Linked DNA regions of Oreochromis niloticus. The protein of the gene in region 1 purifies or fractionates together with the protein of each later gene. This does not show direct contact. Links are inferred from orthologs where the notes say so. Each region holds a gene or a part of one and is shown on either strand. Other genes may lie near its edges.

Evidence for each region.
Region 2: the proteins of dtx3 (region 1) and rnf114 purify together in Homo sapiens (affinity purification with mass spectrometry; 3 studies listed by BioGRID and IntAct, counting the BioPlex papers as one, with this or other methods). This does not show direct contact. The link is inferred for Oreochromis niloticus from reciprocal best matches to the Homo sapiens genes DTX3 and RNF114.

What each region holds. Positions count from the first base shown.
Region 1 is NC_031984.2:20,417,315-20,421,236, reverse strand, and holds the start of dtx3 (putative E3 ubiquitin-protein ligase DTX3), read left to right. Parts: upstream 1-1,135; 5' UTR 1,136-1,603; intron 1,604-1,826; 5' UTR 1,827-1,854; coding exon 1,855-1,867; intron 1,868-2,339; coding exon 2,340-3,142; intron 3,143-3,922. UniProt on the Homo sapiens protein: Regulator of Notch signaling, a signaling pathway involved in cell-cell communications that regulates a broad spectrum of cell-fate determinations.
Region 2 is NC_031984.2:16,331,071-16,334,992, forward strand, and holds the start of rnf114 (E3 ubiquitin-protein ligase RNF114), read left to right. Parts: upstream 1-1,185; 5' UTR 1,186-1,257; coding exon 1,258-1,394; intron 1,395-1,998; coding exon 1,999-2,149; intron 2,150-2,365; coding exon 2,366-2,472; intron 2,473-3,764; coding exon 3,765-3,879; intron 3,880-3,922. UniProt on the Homo sapiens protein: E3 ubiquitin-protein ligase that promotes the ubiquitination of various substrates. In turn, participates in the regulation of many biological processes including cell cycle, apoptosis, osteoclastogenesis as well as innate or adaptive immunity.

The DNA.
Region 1 (3,922 bases):
ATCGTATGCATTCCTGTCACACAGAGGAAAAATCTTTAAAGTTAGAAGGTTACTTGTGATCTGTTTGATTATAATTGAGTCAATGGAGTTATCTATATCAGAAAGATAGAACACCAAGAAACAGAACTAATATACAAATTAGCTTAAAAAAACAAGTAAAAATTATATTGAATAAGAGAAATGTCAAAGGGCTGACTTTTATTAGTTAATAATACTGTGCTGTATTTTATAAGACATATTTAGTCTAAAAGGAAACCTTTATTATCACAGTGAATAGGAAACTGTTGTTTTATATTCCCGTTCCACGAACAGATGCTGATTGATATCTATAGACTCAATAGCTGTTTAACTGATAAATTGGCAAGAAAGTGTTGTAATGAAAATGAACAGACGTTTAATGTTGTGTATCTCCTCAGTCATCTCTGCGGGAAGAGAGGTGCTTTATCTTTTCCTCTCTGTAAGGGCTAATAATTCCTTTAACAGGCTCCGTGTTGCTGCCTCATTAAGGACAGAGTTAATTCATGACAAGATGATGGCGGATTACTGTCATTTCCCATTAATGCAACCCTGATCTCAGATCTTGGTTATTGTTCAGAAAAATTATAAACACAGGCAAGTAAAAGATAAACGTGTAACCTTATTACATTAACCTTATTATTAACCTTATTACAATTAATGTTTTGATATTGGTAATAAAATAGCTGTTCTAATAAGCACATTAATAAATATGATCTATTTGCCATTTATTTTCGTAGATAAAAAATATAAACACATGAAGGATGGCTAAAGACCTTTGCATGGTTTAGTAACCACAGGATGAATAGTAAATGATGGCCATGTTCCAAATAATATGTTGTTACTGGTGCATATGTGAACAGTGTTACTACCCTAAACTGGATAAGATATCCAGTTAGATTAGATAGATAAGTAGACAGATATCAGCATTGTTATTTGTAGGATATGGAACATTCTAAACTGTGACATTAATAAATAAAATATCACATAGAAGCTGTTATGTTCCATGTATTCTTCTGTTAGCATAAAAGCTGATAATCATGACATTACAGAATGAATCACATTATTAAACACACACACACCAACCACCATTTGTCAGCCAATCATGTCAGCTTAGTGACGAGCTTCCTGGTCACATTTTCTCGTAGGTCCTTAATAATGTTTGCTGCCACGCGCTCAACAGAAAGGGCACGGTTACATTAGAAAGCTCACACACAGGCGGGCAGAATGAAGAGGAGAAACAAATTATCTGACTGTAAAAGGCGGTCACACGGCTAGTGTGCTCGGAGCCTGATAAGAAGAGCAACTACAGATGCTATTTACTCTGTGTTACGCCAAGGACGTATGAGGAAGGCAAACACAGGCGTGACTGACAAGAGGAGGCGCAGGGTTTGGGGAACGTCCGTTTTAAATCCTTCAGAGATGTGAATCATGTCTTGACTGCAAAAAGATTAGCTTAACTGCAGCAGCACGTCAGACATAACAACAACAATAAATAATAACAACACAGGCCTCCTCCGATGGAGCTCGGTGCTCTTTAATCCAACCAGAAACCTCCCTGACAGGCAGCGACGAGCTACGGCAAAGGGTGAGGTGTCGAAATGATCGAGGTGGAGGGGTTGGTGTGGTGAGGGTGGTGGAGACACTTAGGCTAGCTAAATGTTCAAGCTAAATATGTGCGAGGCTAAGCTAATGTTGCGATATCGCTGCCGCCGCGGTGGAGAATGGCTCAGTGTAAATATCGGCGAACAGCTGTGATTACGTTTATTCCAGTGCTTCAGTCTGTCTTCCTCTCTTTCTCTGTTCAACAGGAAGCTTTATTCGCGATTGAAGGAATTTATGGGATCACAAGGTAACCCTTTCACCACAAAACAAGTGTCACTCTCAAGTGTTTTTGTTGCGTGTGGCCCCCGCTGTCAGTGGGCTTTTTTCCCCTCGTGTTGTCGCGCGTGTGACGGGATTAAGTTTCCTTTGTTTACAGTCTGAATTTGGGAACAGCTGATACGTCCTCAGCAGTGCCGCGACGCTGCTTCTTATGTGTTTCTTTCTGGATGCGCTGCAGCCGCTGCAAATAGACGTAGATTAATTTGTCATGCACAGATACACTGCAGGCAAAACACAGCGAGTGCTATGGTGGTTTTATGTGCGTGTGCCTGAGCGCCTAAATTATATAGAAAAGCACAAAACAGCACAGGTGAAAAGACTCCTGCGGCCGTGTCTCATTAAAAGATGAATGCTTATGAAAAAGCGTGGTGCAACACTTTTTGTTTGAACTTGCTTCTGCTGCTCAAACACTGATGACTTTCATGTGCCTCTCTGTGCAGTTTCCTCTGATGAGATGAGTGTGAGTGCTGGCCAGGGCAGTGATGAGGTGCTGGTTTCACAGGCAGTGTGGGATTACCTGACTGCAGCTGGGCGGCCCTGGCTCATTGACTTCCAGCACAAGCAGGGGATGAGTGCTGGTATCATTAGGCGAGGAGAGAGGGGGGGCTGCTGTGCTGTTCGGCTGCAGCCGGTGGAAGGCTCGAGGAGCGTTGGGGCTGGTGTGATGGATGGACCCATCTCCAGCGAGACGCGAAAAGCTTTCATTGACTTATGCCGTTGTGCCCGCAAAGAAATGAGCAAACAGGAGGGGGGATCCAAGAGGAAGAGGGCTCTGCTGCCCTGTGTGGGAGTCCTGGAGCAGAACGGAGAGGGGAGCCTGCTCCAGCCTCCACCTCCCCAGCCTCGGCGCTCCCAGAGACAGCAGCAGAGGTTCAAGAAGCCTGTTGACGAGGAGGCGTGCGTCATGCTCCACGAGGCTGCCCAGAGGAAAGACGTGGACTCCGGCATGGCTTCCCACGGTGAAACCGAGGACAGTAATACTTGCTCGATCTGCATGGGGGACATAGTGGAGAAGACTACCCTGGAAAAATGTGGCCATTCTTTCTGTCGCTCTTGCCTGGATCAAGCCTTTAAAGTGAAGAAAGCGTGTCCCGTCTGTCGGCTCGTGTATGGGCAGCTGATTGGGAATCAGCCTGCCAATGGCTCAATGATTGTAGAACGAGATCCTGATCTGGAGCTTCCTGGCCATGAAGGCTATGGGTGTATCTGCATCATCTACAGCTTCCCTCCTGGCTTACAGTCGGTGAGTAGACGAGGACAGTAGATGCAACACAGGGGAAAAAGTTTTAGTAATCGTTTTTGTGTGTGTAAAGAAATTTGTTGGATTTATAATTCAGATTGTTAAACATTGTTAATCATTAGAATTCCAGTGAATAATTAAGAATAGGAGTGTATTTATGTAAGAGAGTCTTACTTTGGCATAAAATAAATCATACTGCACATATGATGACAGTCTCTCTCCTCAGTTTGACCACGTATATTTACTCTTTCTGTCATGACTGATGCCTTGCTGTTTGACTTTGACCTTTAATGTAGCCACAAATTTACAGTTTCCAGAGGGAAGTTCATTAACCTTAAAAGGTTATTCTAAGGACACACAATAATCTACAAAATAAGGGTCATAATCTCTCCAAACCCTGTCACGCTAGATTGTATTCAGCTTTTCTGTGTCTTACTGTTTAAACGTCAAACTTAAGCTGAGAAAACATCTGTTGACAACGAAAGTTGGTTTCCACACTGTTTTTTAAACAGGTGTCAATGTCGGAATTCCCCTGAAAAAATAAACCTTTTGTGGAGTTTCCCTTCCCAGGAAACAGACGCCAAGTAGAAGGGGTAGAATGTGTCACAGGTGCCTTATCTCTTATCAAAATTAAGGTTCAAGATTGTCTTTATTGTTTCCTAAAATCTATCCTGGGTTGAAGAAACTGTCAAAATGACAAAGTAGCTGTAATAGATTATATAAAAAACACACTTGCAAACACACTCCTCCTGTGTTAAATATGCCTAAAAATACAAGACCTGG
Region 2 (3,922 bases), about 4.1 Mb from region 1:
GGCCAGTGGAATTATAGCTTAAATAAGCAAGAGAGGAACTCATTACTGATGTATACATCCCTCTCACACGTTTGCGCCAGTGAACGTTTCAGCTATTGGTACTACATGCGTGTAAACCAGAGTGGCGCTAACCTAGCCTAGCTTAGCTTCAACTCAAAACTCATAAACACATCGTGAAAATAGTACGAGGCTTGAACAACAGGAGAGCAAACATTTCGCTCTCAGATTCTTGCAAGCTGGCTGGCTGGCTATACCTGTTACCTGAAAATCTCTGCGAACATCCGCTCAACGAGCTAGCAACCAATGAGCCTTAGCCAGACGCATGCTTTACAACTGCGTATCTACTACAACAAATTTAGTCCACCGTGACCAATGGCAATATAAAGTAATACTCCTAGAACGTATACATTAATTCTTCATGACTCTCAAACCCGATGCTGCCACTGCTATGGCCTCCCTACTGAGTAGAAGCTAAACAGTGAACGCCCATTTCAGCGTAGCTGGCTAGCTAACAATTGCTTTTGGTTAGCAGGGCGTTCCATCGCTACACAGACATTATTCGCCAGTTTAAAATAAAATAACAAGACACAGCGAATTTTTAAGGTGATGTTCTTTTGGGATCAAATGTTAATGGGCTCCCACTAGGAGATCAAGACGTTTGTTCAAACAAAAATAACAGCATTCGCAAATCTTACCTTTAACAAGTGCTAGTCATGGCTAGCTACGCCTCCTCAGCTGTTGGAAATTCCCAGTATAACAACACGCATGCGCTCAATCCTGACAGTTCATCAGCATCAGGAGCCCACGTGCTAGGGAAGACGGGATACAGACCCCCAAATACATCATCCCCAGTCTTCATTCATTTTTGTTTTTGTTTTGCATGGGTAAAAAAATATATATATACATATAGGCTCGCGTGCGCGCAGAGACAGATTTCCCGGGTTCATAATGATTTGCCGAAGGTATACATTTAGTGGTGTGGATTTCCTGCTTTTTCGTTGTATTAGTGCCCGAATAATTCAGATTTATTTGAATAACTATATATTGTAATATTTTGAATGTCTCTGGGGGGTTTCGATATCTAGTGGGAGGGGGGGGTGTCACAGATTTAGTAAGTATGTCGTACAATTATGTGTTACGATGTTTACTTTCGCCGGTGACCCCGCCCCCTCGCGCTTAAAAAAGAACAAGAACCCGATGACGTCGTCACGGGGACGGTTGGTGCTGGTGGTGGAACCGACTCAGTGAAGAAAAGAAATGGCGATGCTCGGAGGCTTTAGCGCAGCACCTCACAAGAAGAACGCCTCGGACGGGAGCAACGACGTGTCCGAATTCGTCTGTCCAGTTTGCCTCGAAATATTCGACAGTCCCGTGACAACACAGTGTGGACATACGTGAGTATTTTTGCCGTTTATTTTCCATCGCCCTCCCCCTAACCCTCGTCTGCCACCAACGATGCAGTGAAAAGAGGCAAAAACAATGGAGGAAAGGGCTTCACTTTAAATATGTCGTCGCACCAGAGTTGCAAAATATCGGCCTCGCGAGTGTCTTCTAGTGCTACGACCCCGTTTTTTCTATTTTTCTCTCTCGAATATGTGACAAAAACAGTTCCAGCTTGCTAAATCAGTTTCAGTTTTGTTTACATCAAAAAGGAGGCCTCACTTGGGAGTTGTAGTTTGGATGTGTATTGCTCTAACTCTTCAAACCACTTTAAAGAACTACAAGTCCCTGGCTATTCTCGAGGTGGGGGACTTTCCATATGAGTTACAGGAAGGTCCAGTCACTAGCATAATAAAGGTTTGTTTTAGTGACAGCATTTGGGGTTTTTTTCTCATTGCAGGCCATGCGTTAATGTAAACAGAGTTGCTGCATGTTTTTGTCTTGTTTTTTAATAATTTTTTTTTTAAAGCCTCAGGTTACCAGAGCCCAAATTAAAAGTGACAATTTAGTTGATTTATCTTGTGCAGCAGTCACATTATTTCACCCATCTCTTGACAGGTTTTGCCACAGTTGTTTGCAGGAATGTCTGCGTCCACAGAAACCTGTGTGTGCTGTATGTCGAGGCGCTCCAGGCCACTGGACTAGAGCTGCTCAACTCGAGGCACTCATTCAATCTTCTGTGGCAGCCTGTAAGGGATGTGGCACACAGGTATGTTTCACTAAAGTCCAAAAGCTAAAATATTGCTGAACTGACTCACATTTATGAAGCAGTCACAGAGGGTGAATATTCAATAACTGCACATGCATAATCTTAATATTTTGCTGTGTCTAAATTTCTGTCTTTATATTTAGATAATAGCAACAATTTTATGATGATGGTCATATACTGGAAGTTACTGATATGTGTCACTCCTCCCCCAATTAGGTTGGGCTTTCTAAGATGAGAAGCCACACAGCTGCCTGTTCAAAATACCAGGAGTACATTGAGGAGGGAGTCAGGACAACTGCCCAGAGCCAGCCTGCCATCGTCAGGTGGGGAAAGAAGCAGAACAATTATTTGCTATTCCCTACATAAGAAAAGCAAAATGGTTTACACTGTAGAGTCAGACTTTGCGTGCAATCACTGCTGCTTGTTGGGTTGTATAAATTAAAGGTCACCTTTGGACTAACACCAATCCAAAGTGAAAAAGGAAATGAGTGCAGCCCTGTCAGTAGAGTCAGTGAGAGGGCTTCATTCACAGAGCAGAGAGTACTGTACATAGGAAATGGAGTTCTGTTGGCCCAATCAAATGTATGCAATGATAGATTTATGATAGATTTCACTGTAACTTAAGTGCCAAATTTAAACAGTTGACCTGTTGTGACAAATGATGGAATAATATCTTCTTGTGATATAAAATTCCCTGTTTATAGTATTATAAACTCTTGGCAGTACATTGTTGTTTGATAAGACTCCAAAGTCGTGGCTCCATTACTGCCTTGTTTCACTGACATGCCTAACATGTCAGTCAAAAATGAAATGCTCTGTTTTTGCGGTCAATCTGTCATGTGAACTATATGTAGTGTATACATTTTACACTTAAAGTTAAAAAAAGTAAATGGAAGTTTTAGCACAAATAGGATTTCAAATTAAACACAATCTGATTGCAAGTAAAATAGTATTATAAAGTGTGATCAAGCTTATGCTAAGTATTCTGTATTTTACCTGTTGTAATTTCCAATCATGATTTTTCCAGAGTGTATAGAAAACAGTACAACTTTTATCTTTAGAAAACATAAAACACTGTTATTGTCAAGTTGTATGAAGTGGATCTGGTTTTTATCATATTTGGATGTTAAGTATTTATGACAGCTGTACTTCCTGGAGAAAGTTCCGAGAAGATGGTTTGAGAAGCCGTCGCTTGTAATGAGGTTATTATGACTAATCAGGAAGTAGTCTTTAGTGGGGGGTTTTTGTTTTGTTTTTTTCCACCCAAACAGCAGCCTTTAAAACAAAGAATCCACACATTGTGGCATGTTGGGCCAACACTGTTTAAAGTAAGAAACCGATCCTGGTATTTATTTATTTTGTTATTTAACCCTCCAGATGTTTGTGCCAGGAAACGGATTCCTGTTATAAAAAAGAAAAAAGAATAACTGTCACTTTTAAGCCTTTCTCAAGCTCTTTCAGCTGGTGAAAAGTTGATGTGACAAAAGATAAAGATTGGCCACTAACTGTGGTAAATTATTTCTTCATAAGCTGATGCCTGTTGCACTTCAAGTGCAATATTCATGTAGTTGAGAACCAAACCTTGTGACATTTTATTGTTTCTCTTCTGCCACAGTTCAGTGCCAAATCGCTACACCTTCACCTGCCCCTACTGTAACTGCCAGAACCTCGACCAGGACGGCCTGGTTGAACATTGCACTTCCCAACATGCTCGAGATGCACGCCAAGTGGTAAAAAAAAAAAGTCTACTCTGTCATAATTCTGAGTCATACT